Linked DNA regions of Pelodiscus sinensis. The protein of the gene in region 1 purifies or fractionates together with the protein of each later gene. This does not show direct contact. Links are inferred from orthologs where the notes say so. Each region holds a gene or a part of one and is shown on either strand. Other genes may lie near its edges.

Region 1 (7,005 bases):
AGGTCTGTCCTTCTGTACAGGAATGCAGAATTTTGCCTGTGCATACATGCAAGTTTCAGAAATTCATACTCCAGGTTTGAATAGTACAATAAAGGTGTTTGTAATAACATATTAACTGCCTGACCTGAAACCCTGTTACGCATATTTCTTCTTGAAGTCCACAGATTTCTCTGTATAAGGATTGCATGATCAAGCCTTAATGTGTGAACCAGCATACACTATAAGAGAGAGAAGCTGATCACAATTCTATTCTTAAAATAGAAAATATCAATATCTAGATCTACATAGGCTGTTGCTTAAAAACTGTGTTAAATATTGACAGAGTACAAAAAAATGTACTACCTCAATAATCCTATGCTTGAGCATTTGCTGTAAGAAAACTCTAAAATACTCAAATTAAGATATGCAGACTCTAAAACAAAAGGAACTTTCATAACACTGTGAAAAAACTTGGATAGCATAGCCTCAAGCTAGCAATGTAAAACTATTAGTAGTGTTTGATTCATATACATTCAAAGAGCTGTAAGCATAAATTGTGGAGCCAGAATTTACTGGTAATGGTATGTTTCTATTATTGGCTTCTCTACACACTTCCCTTGTAACACTACAGAGAAGTGAGTTCTATACCACACAATTTTTAAATAGAACAAAAGCTTTAACAGAGACCAATAAACATTTCTGGCTTATTTCAGGAATTCCCAACAAGGATAAAAATACAGGAAAAAACAGTATGCACACAGAAATGGATAAAATTAATGTTAACACAAAACTGTAATTCTGGCATTTGACTTCTGAGTGCTGGACCTTGCAATGCTATTTAGAGATGTTTGCGGGGAGTCGACTAGTCCAGTGGTTCCCAACCTTTTTTATGCAGTGGACCAGCAAACCCATTCACAAATGTTTGGTGAACCGATAATATTTACATAATTATTATTTGCATAATGAATATGCAAAGAAAGTGTTACTCATCCACCAAAATATGTACCCCAGCTAGAGCCAGCCTTAGGGAAAATGGCACTCTGGGTGAACTTGTATTGTGGTGCCCCTGCCTCCCCAACCCCAGGCATGGTGCCCTCCTATTTTCTTTGGTGGCCATGGGCTCCCCCATCCCTGGCTCCCCACCCTGTGCCCCCTTTGCAATTAACTCCAACACTGTGCCCCAACTCCAGCTGCGTCACCTTCATCCCAACCTCTCTACAATGCCGTTGTCATCCCAACCCCTGCATTTTCCTCCCACCTACACCCCCAGCTCCAGCCCTGTGTTGTCAGTGTGCCTACCACATTGCCTCTCTGCCCAGTACCACCCAATACCTTATGCTTCAGATTTTTTGGCCCAGGGCCCCTACCTGGCTCAACACAAACCTTTCTGTGGACCACCAATTGCTAATAGAAACTTGCTGTTAGTTACATAATTAAGCCCAAGTCACTTTGCTAGTGCTGCAGCAAGGGAGAACTTTTTAATTTAACCAGTAAAAAAGGCAATATTAATGTAAGTGCTTTAACTTTCTCATGCATTAAGGCATGGGCTAGCCAGGCAGCTGCCCGGGGTGCCAACCTATGGGGGGGTGCCTGATGGCAGCTGTAAGAGGCGCACAGCACCCCTTATAGCTGCCATCAGGCACCGCACGCCCAGCTCCTGGATCGCTGGATGCAGCAGCTCCCAGCAGCTACCCTGCAGCGGCCGCCCAGAGCGGGAGCTGCATTAACCACCGCAGCACCAGACAGCAGCACCCTTCCCCCCGAGGTAATGGGGCCCCTGCACGGCCAGGCTCAGTCTGCACCGGGTGGCCCCGGGCTGTGCGCCAGCGGCGGTAGCCGGGCTGGGCCTATGCGTCCTGCTGCCGCCAGCTCCGCCTGCCCTCCCCCACACGCCGACACCGGGGCAGGGCCACGCATGCGCCCTTCCCCAACCCGGGGCGCAATTAAACTGTCTGCCCGGGGCGCTGGAATGGCTCGGTCCAGCCCTGCTTGTGCCCTGTTAGGTCCTTATATCTTTTCCAGTCTGCCTGTCCTCATACCACACCTAGGAAGAAGCGCTGTGACCCCATTTTGACATACAGGGAACTCAAGCACAGACTAGGGAGTTAAGATGATCAGAAACTCCTCAAACCCTGGTTAATGAAGCAGCTGCATAAGCAGCTAGATTAGGGACCTTCAAACCTCAGTGACATCAGGAGCCTCTGTCCTCCCTCCCCCTCACATGGTTGGAGCACCAGTGCTGACTTCCCGCTGTGGGGCAGGGGGAGACAAAGCCCCAAGCCTTGCACCACGATCTGGCTCATGGGGAAGAAGCGCTGCCTGCACGCTGCTGTTCCCCCAGGCAGGAGAGGGAAAGGGCAGTGCTTCTTTCCTGCAAGTTGGATTGTGGAGCAAGACTCAGAGCTTTCTCTCCCCTCTCCCATCCACAGTGGGAAGGCAATGCTGGTATGCCAACTGCATGGGGGAAGAAGCATGTGTGTGCACGAGGCAGGAGAGTGAGGCTGCAGCACCCTGGAAGCTGGCTACTGTGTGGTGGCTCAGGGGACTGGGATGTACCCTAGCAATGCCCCCCAGTGGCTGTGAACACCTGACTTCACCTTGCTATCCGCAGTCAGCAGTTCGAGGACCATCACCAACTGGGAATCGCTGGACTAGTCAACTATCCAATAAGCACAAGCTCATTGGTATTTGAGTGGAGTATCTACTACTCGTGTCCCCCTCCCTTCCCCCCATCACTGCCTCTATGAGAGGTAGAAGGATAGAAAGGGGGCAAACAGGAGTTGGTGCTGGTGGGAGCCAGCTTAAAAGCCAGTTTCCCCCCTGCACTGTCTCTGCAATGCTGCTTGTTTCCCCATCTGGGGGAGAGGATAGGGGAGGTTGCTACAAAGAGAGGTCTCAGCGGGGAGCTGGGCCCCCCCCTCCGGTGGGCAGGGACTGGTGCTCACGCTAGTCTGGGATGTTACATCTCTGCATTTTATGTGTATTAAGAGCCCAGTAGCTCTTACTACATTTAAAATGCAGAGCCACAGCAAGGGTGTCTCCTGCAGACAGCACTGCTCAGCCCCGACTCCAGCTGACTCCTGGAGCCACACCGGATGCGGATGCGGCTCTGCAGAGTGCTCCTTGTTGACTAATCATGTAGTTGATGCAATGTAACATCCTGAATCCTAATAACATTCTTTCCACTACTTCTGTGCAAAGTACTTTCCTAGGCTTAAAATAAACTGAAAAAAAACCCCATTGTGTTGCATCATACTGATACCCACAGGAGCCAGACGGCTTGGCTCAACTGCACAGATCTCTGCCACTTGAATGGATGGAATAACTGGCAGCATTAATAGACGGTGTGTTACAGGTATGTCTACACAACAGCTAGACACGTGGGTGGTCTGTGCCAGCCAACTGAAGCTCACAGGGCTTAGGTAGCAGGGCTCTTTCAAGACCGTGATTTCTGGGCTCCAGCTGGAGCCTGATCTCTGGGACCTGCTGACCTTGCAAGGAGCCCAAACTTCAGCCACGGCCCAACCGTCTAGAGGGCAGTTAACCAGCGCGTTACTCTGAGCCCTGCAAGCCAGTAGCTGGGATGGGCCAGCCAGTGGTGCCTAGCTGCAGACTTGACAACGGCACCAGTGTGCGGGGAAGAGCCGGGTCAAGGGGCTGGGGCGGAGGGGCGGCTTGTTGTGCCTAGCTACGGAGAGGTGGTGCTGGAGAGCAGCCACGTGCCCGGTACCCTACACGCCCCTTCTCAGCAATCGCCCCTGCTTGAGGGGAACCGGCTCCTGCTTGTCTCCCCCCACGTGCCCGCGCAAGCTAGAGCGGCAGTTGCTGCTGGTTCCCTAAATGGAGCGATTCTACCTACCGCGCGCGCGCCTCCGCCCGCAACCCTTCGGCCAGTTCTCTGGCCCGTCCTTGCCCCGCGAGACAGACCCAGGCAGATCCTCATCGTCATGCGGAAATTAAGATAAGGACCAATCAGACACCGCTTGCCACTTATCTCGGATTCCAATTGGTAGATCGGTGGCTGTCACGTGAGCTACACAGTTCCGCGCTGGGTCGGCTGCTCGGGCAGTTGGTGGAAGTGCTGCGGGTGTCCGGGGGTGCACGCGCGCGGTTGGAGGGAGCCGTTGGGCAGGTAGGCGCTGGCGGCAGGACCCCTGGCTCGGAAAGGGGGTTGGTCACAGGGCAAGTCGCTGCGCAACGGTCATTCCTCCCCTCCCCCCCGGGTCTTGCCGCCGCCGAGCCGCTCGTCTGGAGAACGGGGCGGTTTGCCTGGGAGCGGCGGCGTCCTGTGCACGGCCCCAGCCGCTGGGCGCCGTTGCCCTCTCGGCGACGGCCCGGGATGCGCTGGCGGCAGGGCGCGCGGGGCCATAGAAGATGCCCCCTTTCCTGAGAGCCTGCTGGGCACGAGCCTGTCCTCGGGGTAGCAACACGGGACGCTTCGTGGTGGGCGGGGTTAGGGCGGGGAGACACCTGGGCAGAGCGCGAGCTGCTGGGTCGCCGTGGAGCCGATGAGTCTGTAGCAGCTGCACTACGGGGGGGGTGATTGGTGTGACGGGCTAAACGCTGTTTCCGCTGCTCTTTCCCCGTCGCTAGCGGAGGCTGTTACCAGACTTGGATAAAATGCGGCTCGCGCAGAAAGCAGCTCATTTAAACTTATAATAAACTGGTTTGGCTTGTTTCTTGCAGGCTCTGCAGCAGGGCAGGAAAAAACAGCAGTGTACTGAAGCTCTTCATTACCAACATTGGACTGCACAAGCAGGTTAAAATATGGCAGCGGAGATTAATTTTCTAAGAGATCAAAGTAAGCACGACATACACTTAAAATAGCCGTTTGTGCACTTAAGGTCTTGCAATTACATTTGATAACCTAACGGTTTCACTCCCTGACTAGTGTTTGAAAAATGGATGCAAACAGGAAACCTGCCTCTAGAGTTTACTCTAGGAGTTCTAGAGTAAACAAACACCCCCCACCACACACACACACACACTTCTGTTTTACAGTAATTTTAGCAATTAGTTTCTATAACACTCTTTTCTAACAGAATAAAATAATTGTCAACAGCTCTGGTTTGTTAATACATGTAAACCAATATTCCATTTGACTTAGGGATGTAGGAGTTTAAATGGTTAACCAGTTAACCTGTTAGCTGATGCTTTGTTCCTATTACCATTTAAACTCTGGTAGGGAGTGTGGGTAGATAGGCTGGTGCCCACAAGGCCTGATGGAAATTCCATCAGTTACATGGTCTGTACGATTAGACCTACTGAAAAAGTTTGGACTTCTGGCCTATTAAACACAGCAGAAGAGCCCTCCCCGTATTGCCTGTACTCTGACAGAGTTCAATAATGTCTTTATCTAATTTTCATATACTCAGGGAATTTTCTTATTTTTTCATACTTACAGTGTGCAGTAGCGATGTGAAACTTTATCAAAACTGTTAACCAGTTAAATGGTATAATTGTAATTGTTTAGACTGTGACCACCAGTTAACTGTTGGTGGGGACAGGGCAACTGTATGTGGGGGGGTCATTACCACGCTGCGGGCAGGCATGTCAAGAGCCAATGTGGGTCCAGTGCACCATGGGCCAGGGTCTGGATTCCAGGGTTGCTGCTGTGTCGGCCTGGGGTTGCAGTAGTGCAGCTGGGACCAGAATCTGGGGTTGCTGCAGTGTGTTAGGGTTCTTCATGCTCCCACCACAGCCACTGTGGCCCAATCAGGATTTCTGCTAATCCCTTCTAGGACTGCCTACTGAACAGTTTAACAGAACAAGTGGAGTAATATGTAATCGTTAGAATGGTCATTGATGGCACTATTGCATTGTTTGTCATGGAGTGGGTACTCCCAGTCCCCTCTGTGGCAGGGCTTTAGACCTTTCAAAAAGTGTGCTCCACCCTATGAGTGTCTCTAGGGCCCAGGTCCTCTGACTACACCCTTTTTTCCAATGCAACAGTCTTGCTTAGCAGTCAGTCAGTGAAACAGCCCCTTCTGCAAGGGCAGTGAGCTCTGACAGTCAGTAATTGCCCCCCTTTCCTCCAGGTGACAAGGCCTAGTAGCCAGTGGGAATCCCCACCCTCTTCCTTCAGGGCAGTGGGGCTTAATGTCCAGAGTCAGTTCTCACTCTCTTCCCTGAAGGCAATGGGGCCAGAATCAATAGCAGCCCACCCTGTTCATGTGGTAATGAGACCGAGCAGCCAACATCTGTTTCCCGCTTCCTTCCCTCAGGGCAGTGAGGCCTAGTGGTCCGAGTCCATAATCACCATTTTCTGGTCTCAGGGCAATAAGGCCTAGCAGCCAGATGCAATAATCACCAGGCCCACCTTTTCCACCAGGTCCAAGTCCAGGGGCCTGTCAGTGGTGAGCATGTCCCATCACTAGCTCAGCAGGGAATCCACCCAAAACATGCTGAGCTCTTCCCTGCCCTGGTCTACTTCCTACCTTATTCATGACCATAGGCTTCTTCTCCAGCTATTCTCCCCTGATTGGCCTCCATGGTTTGGTCCCACCATAGCTCTTCCTGCAGAACTCTGGCAGGAGCTTCTTCCTCTACAGCAGCCAGCTCTGACTGAGCTGCTCCACTGGCATTTATACCTGTCCTCCAGCTGGTGCATTCCCAGCAGGGCTGTGGGGGTGAGGCTCTCTGTTAGGTAGCTCTGGTTAACTCTTTCAGGCCCAGTGCGGGGTTGGTACACCCTGTTACATTGTTAAATAGAAAATCATATATTGAACAGATGATTTGGGTGATCTCAGATGAAAGGTCACCTTTCACATTATAAAAAGGCACTTCTATAATTGAAAGGAAGGGCTGCTGTATCAGACCCTCTTTCTACTATTTTTTGGGGGGAGAAAGGGTTATGTGTTGAAAAAAGTGTGTAATTTTGTGCCTAGCTTCGATTTGCCTTTCCTTTTAAAGTGCCTTGTATTTTTCAGGCCATGGTTGCTATTTTTAGCACTTGCATACTTTCATTATTTTCCCCATCAAACTAGAGCTCATACTGTCTAGAATAGCACAAACCTCAGTGATGTG
Region 2 (7,698 bases), on another chromosome or scaffold:
AGTGGGACTCTGTGCCCTCAAGGGACCTTTTTATTTCAGACTCAGGCTAGGCTATGGCAGGAAGACCTCTCCAGCCCCGCTGCTGTGGAGTAGCCCCCACGTCAGTCTGTTAACTGGTTAAACATCAAAAACTCCTTCTTGTGTCAGGACCCCTACAATTACAACACTGTGGAATTTCTGATTTACATAACTGAAAACATGCCATTTATAATTTTAAAAATCCTATGACTGTGACATTGACTGAAATGGACCGTGAATTTGGTAAGACCCTAATTATGTACCTTCAAGGTGTAACATGCTGTGCACCCAGAAACAGAGGCCACCTAAAATCACTAATCTTTTTAAAATGTAACCTTTTAATTATAATTACTTTGTTAAAGAAGCATGCATAAGGGCCAAGTCAAAGTGCTGCCTGCTCCACTTGAAAAGCTCCAAATAAAAGCAACAGATCAAAAGTTATTATAGACATTATTCATAATCCCACCCTACACATCACAAAAGTGAGGTGTTAAAGAAGCTAAATAATTAAGAAGTTTAACAACACACACACACACACTTCACCTACAAACAGCAACATATAACTACCTGAAATAAAATAATAAAACAAAAGGAAGTGGCAGACGTATCATCCTTTGAGTCATTTAAAGCAACTTACATAACTTAGACTAAATACAGTTCTGTTTAAAAAAAAGTTTTAAATATCCCTAATAACAGGAATTGATTAGTGACACTCCCCCTACCCATTTTTCAGCTGAGGACATTTTACGTTTGCATTTAGAAGTTCTCCTGTTGTGTGGGCAACAAACACTGTGCTAAAGTTTACCAAATGTGGCAGCATTACTTAGAGCAGTTGCTTTCAGATCTTTTTGGAATGCTCTCACTAACTCACAGACTTTTTCTTAGGTCCTGGCTCTGAAACTTGCTTGATGTTCATAGAGCCTTGCAAATCCTTGGATATCCCCTTTATATCTGCAAGTATCCACATATGAGGTTGTGGATGTGGATATATGCTCAGTTCATTTTTGCTGATATAGATGTAGATACAAAATGTTCTATCCATACAGGGCTCTATTCATAGACAGACCCCTGTGTCTATGCTGTATCCTACTGACTTGAGTGAGGCTCCACACTGGTATTTTATTCAAGTAAAGTGATAAGCAACCAATATTCTGGCATGTTAACTTATCTTACAGAAAGAGGCAAATTCCCAGAACTGGAACATGGCTGTGGGATCCACCACACAGAACAAGCTACCTAATAGGAGCCAAAGACAACACCCTCCTGAACTCTCATTCCCAATTCTCCATCCTCCCAGGAATAACCACAGTCCTTGGTTATATAAAGACATAACATTGGGACAGTATTAAGATAACACAAACATAAAGTGGCTTTAGTGCATCTGAGGCCAATGACTTGGTTATGATCTATTTAGTTGCATTGTTGTTACTTTCCACTCTGCACTTCCTATTTATTAGGGCCAGCTTGGGAGTGAAAGGAGCCTGTAGAAGGAGGAATCAGAAGGAGATAGGAGCTAGAAGCCTACAAGAGTGTGTGAACTTAAGTAAACTGACAAAGGGAGGCTGGAGGCGGGGGACAAACAAAACGGACTGGAACTGGGCTGGAAGGGACAGAGTAGAGAGGTGAGCAATTGAGGAGGAAAGAGGAACAGACAGATGGGAGTCAGGGGGAAGGAAGGACAGACGGGGGGGGGGGTTCAGGACAGACGGGGAGCACAGGATGGGAAGACAGGGGCCGGGGGAAGGACGGGCAGACAGGGGGAGAGACTCAGAACAGGCAGCCAAGGGGCCGGGGGCCGCAGGACAGACAGGGGACGGGCGGACAGACAGACACGGGGGCAGAGAAAGGACGGACAGACGAGGCGGGGGGGGACAGACAGGGGACGAGGCGGGGGCGGATTGCGGAGGGGGCCGGGGGCCGGACGGGGGGGGGCTCAGGACGGACGGGGGGGGACCGGGGGCCGGGCAGACGAGGGGGGGGGACGGACATGGGGGGGTCGCGGAGGGGGCCAGGCAGACGGGGGGGGGTCGCGGAGGGAGCCGGGGCCGGGCAGATGAGGGGGGGACGGACACGGGGGGGTCGCGGAGGGGGCCGGGCAGACGGGGGGGGGACGGACACGGGGGGGTCGCGGAGGGGGCCGGGCAGACGAGGGGGGACGGACACGGGGGGGTCGCGGAGGGGGCCGGGCAGACGGGGGGGGGACGGACACGGGGGGGTCGCGGAGGGGGCCGGGCAGACGAGGGGGGACGGACACGGAGAGGTCGCGGGGGGGGCCGGGCAGACGGGGGGGGGACGGACACGGGGGGGTCGCGGAGGGGGCCGGGCAGACGAGGGGGGGACGGACACGGGGGGGTCGCGGAGGGGGCCGGGCAGACGAGGGGGGGACGGACACGGGGGGGTCGCGGAGGGGGCCAGGCAGACGGGGGGGGGGTCGCGGAGGGAGCCGGGGCCGGGCAGATGAGGGGGGGACGGACACGGGGGGGTCGCGGAGGGGGCCGGGCAGACGGGGGGGGACGGACACGGGGGGGTCGCGGAGGGGGCCGGGCAGACGGGGGGGGACGGACACGGGGGGGTCGCGGAGGGGGCCGGGCAGACGAGGGGGGGACGGACACGGGGGGGTCGCGGAGGGGGCCGGGCAGACGGGGGGGGACGGACACGGGGGGGTCGCGGAGGGGGCCGGGCAGACGAGGGGGGGACGGACACGGGGGGGTCGCGGGGGGGGCCGGGCAGACGGGGGGGGGCGGACACGGGGGGGTCGCGGAGGGGGCCGGGCAGACGGGGGGGGGGCCGAGGGGCCGCGGACTCGCTAGGCCTGGGCCGGGGCCCTCACCTGTCCCGGAGCCGCAGCTGGAGGCTGCCCAGGGTCGCGGCGGGCTGAGGGCGCCGGGCTCCCCCCGCGGCGCCGGGCCCGGGCGCCCCGCACATGCCGCGCTGTTTACACCGGTGTCCTAAGCGACGGCTCCCACCATGCACCGCGCCCGAGCGGACCCGGAAGCGCTGGGCAGGAGGCGGGGCCTCGCGCGTAGGCCCGCCAGGGAGGGGGGCGCGCGGCCCAAGCCCCGCCCCCTGCTGGCGGCGGCGGGGAGCTCACCCCAAACCCCGCCCCTCACTTGGGCCATAAGCCCCGCCCCCTGCTGCTGGCCAGGGGGCGGGGCCCGGTCCCCAGACAGGCCTTAGTGAGCTGGCACCAGGCGCTGGCCTGAGCCCTCCCTGGCCCTGGCTTGTAGCTGCTGGAGGAAAGGCAGGGACCCCCCCATGCGCTTCCTCCCAGCCCAGCGCTGTGGCCCCCGGCCCGGCCCGGTTCCTGGTCCCCGCCGTGGGACTGCAAACCAGAATCTCGGCGTCCCTTAACAAATAAACCAGTCTGCTTCCAAAAGCTGGGCCATGTGACAGGCGCGGGTCACACGCAGTAACCTTTGCAGGAGTCTGCAGACAGCTTGGTAGCCAAGCGCAGAGAGGGTGACCTGCCCACTCGCCATTAGTCAGTGCTCTGTGTGCCCCTGCCTTCCCCACAACTCCCAATTGATTGGCTCAGATTACGCTGTGCGCCCTGTAGGTACTATTCCAAGAAACCCACACTCAAGGCCTCAAAGAGTGCAAGCTGGAATCCAGCTCCCAGTCAATCAAATGAGGAAACAGAGCATAGACAGCAGATTCAGCAGGCCAACAGCTTATTGTTGAGTGTTTTGTAAGCGTCACAACAGAGTTTTAAGGGGGGCACTGAAGAGGACTGCATAAAAGATGTATGTATAATTGCAGGAAGCATCTCCAATATGTAAATATCTAAATGCAATGTAAAGCACTATAATGCTTACACAAAACCTCCTCTCTCTACCGCCTTTCTTGCTGATCAATATGGTCTCCTTTTAGTCTCATGTCTGTTGTTTCTTGTGCTCAATTGTAAGCTCCTGGGGGCAGAGACGTCCTTGTTTTGTGTTTGTGCATCAGCTAGCACAATGAGGCACTGGACTACAGTAACTGAAATAATAATAATAAAAACCCCAAGGTGACTGTGAGAAAACAAAGCTTGACATTTTCTTTTCATTTTAATTTTGTAACTTACCTTGATCGGTCTGTTTTCACTTGCAACCACTTAAAACCTGCTGCTTGTACTTAACAAAAACACTTTTGTTTGCTATCAAGGCCAGTATAAATAATTGTTACCTGGGGGAAACAAGCAGTGTGCATATTCCTTTTTCTTGATAAAGGGAGCTTGCCTGAACGAGCTTTCACTGTGGAAAACTTTTACACAGAGAAAGACGGATTTATTTGGGGGTTTGATCCCTTTGTAGGTTGGTTTCTTGGGTGCTCTGCCCTAAAATTGCTTTCTCTCAGAGATGAAGTAGTTCAGTGTCTGCATTCCTTTTCAGGGGGGCAGTAACCCCAACTCTGCCTTATCTAGGAGAGGCCAGAGGATCTGGCCCAGTAGGATAGGGTGGTGGGAAGCCCCAGAAAGCAAGAAGGCAGAGGTTGGTGGCATGATCAGCACACCAGGGAACAATCCCATGGAGTCTCTTGTGACAACACCCTGTCACATGAGGCTAATTCCATAAGTAGTTGTGGGGTGTTCAGATACTATGGTTAAAAAAAAGTCCAGTCTCTAAATCAGTGGTACTCAAACCTGTAACAGAAGGAATGCTACGCTAAGTAGAGGTGCAGACAGCTCCAAAAGGATTAAATGTATTTAGAACAGAAAAGTGATCAGTACACATTTATAATAAAATGATTAACAAAATCACATTCTCTATTAGAATAACTTTCCTAAACCATCAATATTTACTTACATTAGTTGCTTATGAACAGAGACAGTGTGTGTCGCTGCGATGGGGCATATCAACCCCTCACTGGTGCAGCAAGAGTTAATCCTGCTCACCTAGGCTATGTCTAGACTGAAGGCTTCTTACGGAAGAAGCTTTTCCAGAAGAGATCTTCCAAAAAAACTTCTTCCGAAAGACCGTGTCCACACTGCCAAAGCACATCAAAAAAGTGATCTGCTTTTTCGAAAGAGCGTCCAGACTGAATGTATTTAAACTGCGATTACTATGGACGGAGCGGCCACCAGGGCAACTGTGCATTTTCCTCTTTCCTCTTCTTTCACAAGAACTCCCTCTTCCCCAGCCACACATGCCTTTTTGTGAAAGCTCTTCTGAAAAAGGGCTTCTTCCTCGTAGAAAGAGGATTGCCAGTGCTGGGAAAACCCCTCTGTTCTTTCAATTTTCTTTTGAAAGAGTGTGGACACAATTGAAGTTTTTTTCGGAAAAACAGTCGTTTTTCCGGAAAAAAAACCTCTGTAGTGTACACATACCCTGCCCCCTAGCTCTGCTGAACATGCTACAGGTGGAGGCCAGGTATGAAGGCCTGCCAAGCAGCGCAGTCTGGGCTGACTACTCATGAGGGAAGGAAGTGTTGGGCTAGTTCCTGAGGAAGGACTGCTTGTGCAGCAGGATGTTGACACTGCTGAGAGGGGAGGGATGGAAAACCCAGAAACGTGGAAGGAAGCGATCTAGAGGAGTTTTGTGAGACATGGTAGCCATATCAGAGCAGCTTACTGTGTTTTAATGGGAGCCCTGCTGTGCTAGTGGTGGGCAAATCTGCCACCAACAGGTCCCTGAGTTGGGACTGGGTGAAGAGGGTGGGGCTGAGTCCCCTTAACCCTGACTACTACCCCCTCCTGAGGTGATTACCCTGCACCCCTTCTTATCAACTGCTACCTTGTGCTGCCCTGTGACTGAAGGGCTTTGCTACTGACTCTGGGGGTGTGTCTAAACTACATGGCTCCATCGATGGAGCCATGTAGATTAGCCTGATCGGCAAAGGGAAATGAAGCCGCGATTTAAATAATCGCGGCTTCATTTAAATTTAAATGGCTGCCGCGCTGAGCCAACAAACAGCTGATTAGCTGTTTGTCGGCTCAGCGCGCTAGTCTGGACGCTCCTGCACCGACCTGAAAGCCCTTTATCGACCTCCCCATTATACCTCGTAGGATGAGGTTTACCGGGGAGGTCGATAAAGGGCTTTCATGTTGGCAGGGGAGTGTCCAGACTGCCCCAACCTGCTGACAAACAGCTGATCGGCAGAGCAGGGCAGCCATTTAAATTTAAATGAAGCCGCGATTATTTAAATCGCGGCTTCATTTCCCTTTGCCGAACAAACAAATCTACATGGCTTGGTCGACGGAGCCAGGTAGTCTAGACGTACCCTGGTTGTCCAGCTATGTTGTCCTGGTAGCTGGAACTACAGCGGAAGACTCAAATTGTTGAGCCCAACGATGAGGCTGTGGAGTACCCAACCCACACCCTGAGAGTGATGTGTATCTTGATCCCGTGGCAGCACGTCACATATATTCTACATCACATTTCCCTGCCCCCAGGGCAATAACCACAGGCAGGCCGGGCATCACTCAAATTTGTGAAAAGAGCCACGTTCTAGATTCTAGAGACACGTATATCTCAAAAGCCGCAGGTTGAGTCCCCCAGTTCTAACAGTAACCAACCCCTTCTGCAATTCCAGGTTCTTCTGCCAGGTTTTAATGTTCTATAGCACTGCTAATGACTCTCCACACGTCTCAGTTTCAAATTTGGATAACACGTTTCAAAAAGCATTGCTGGATAGATGCAGTTGTACTTAACAGTCCCTAAATTAACTGCCATCACTTGAATACCCGTAGCTGCTGCCTGGCTTAGTCCTCACAGATCCACTATAAATAAATGGCTCTCATAAAGATATGGGAGGTTTTAGCTTGTGAAAAAGCTTACACACTCAATAAGACACATATGCAAAGGATTTGCAGATTTGGGAGCCTTTTATTATTGCATTCACCCAACGTGTGATTAAACGGAAAACCCTGCTGTTCTATTTTCTTTCTATTGAAAGCACAAAAATGCTAGTCAGACTTCTGGTGCAGGGTTGATTTCATACCTATCAACCACCAGAAAGACAATTTTGCCACTGATCCCGATCTCTATCAGATACTGAACAAAACCCTGGATCGGAATATGCCTGAAATGTAGGAGATTTGGAACCTGAAATCGGGATCCACGCTGTATAAGTCAGGTCCATTAAAAACCTGCAGGGGGGAAAAAGGAAGATATTCAGAATATATCCGGCTGCTTTGAAATAATGAAATGAGTGCTGTAATGTATGGCCTGATCCTGAACCATCAATGTCTATGGAACTTTGTCATTGATTTCAGTGGATCCAGGATCACAGTGTCGTCGTCCCCTCCCCTGCTCCTGCCATCCCAACCCCACAGTGTTTCCGATGCACAATTTTCCTCACAGGTCTTGCTATATGTTGTGTTTTTCTTAAAGCCACTGGAGTCAAGAGGCTTAGACTTTGACTATCAGCTTTCATTTAATTAAGTAAATGTCTAACCTTCCTGATTGTGCAGAAAAAGTTGAAAACGTGACTCTATCTAGGGTTCCCTAAAGGTTCAAACCCCAGAAGGCAAATAAAAAGCCAAAATGTATTCTTGGCTTAAAAACATCAGGAGACTTACAACTGTCTTTGTTTTGGGAGGCTTGACTCGTGAGTTTTGCATGCTTGCGTTTGCCAGCACTACCCACAGGGTGGACCACACCGAAAAGTTCGGCAGCGCCTAACCATAACCACTTTCCCAGCGGCACTAGAAGGAGCAATAGACGGAAACCGAGACACCCCTCATAAGCTTTCCTCTTGTCT

The links. Proteins that work in one complex are often made in the same cells at the same time.
Region 2: the proteins of SCLT1 (region 1) and KIZ purify together in Homo sapiens (co-immunoprecipitation; 3 studies listed by BioGRID and IntAct, counting the BioPlex papers as one, with this or other methods). This does not show direct contact. The link is inferred for Pelodiscus sinensis from reciprocal best matches to the Homo sapiens genes SCLT1 and KIZ.

The regions. Positions count from the first base shown.
Region 1 is NC_134715.1:50,627,247-50,634,251, forward strand, and holds the start of SCLT1 (sodium channel and clathrin linker 1), read left to right. Parts: upstream 1-3,997; 5' UTR 3,998-4,111; intron 4,112-4,180; exon of another isoform or gene 4,181-4,399; intron 4,400-4,665; 5' UTR 4,666-4,746; coding exon 4,747-4,780; intron 4,781-6,416; exon of another isoform or gene 6,417-6,547; intron 6,548-7,005. UniProt on the Homo sapiens protein: Adapter protein that links SCN10A to clathrin. Regulates SCN10A channel activity, possibly by promoting channel internalization.
Region 2 is NC_134713.1:195,717,473-195,725,170, reverse strand, and holds the start of KIZ (centrosomal protein kizuna), read right to left. Parts: upstream 3,021-7,698; 5' UTR 2,944-3,020; coding exon 2,849-2,943; intron 1-2,848. UniProt on the Homo sapiens protein: Centrosomal protein required for establishing a robust mitotic centrosome architecture that can endure the forces that converge on the centrosomes during spindle formation. Required for stabilizing the expanded pericentriolar material around the centriole.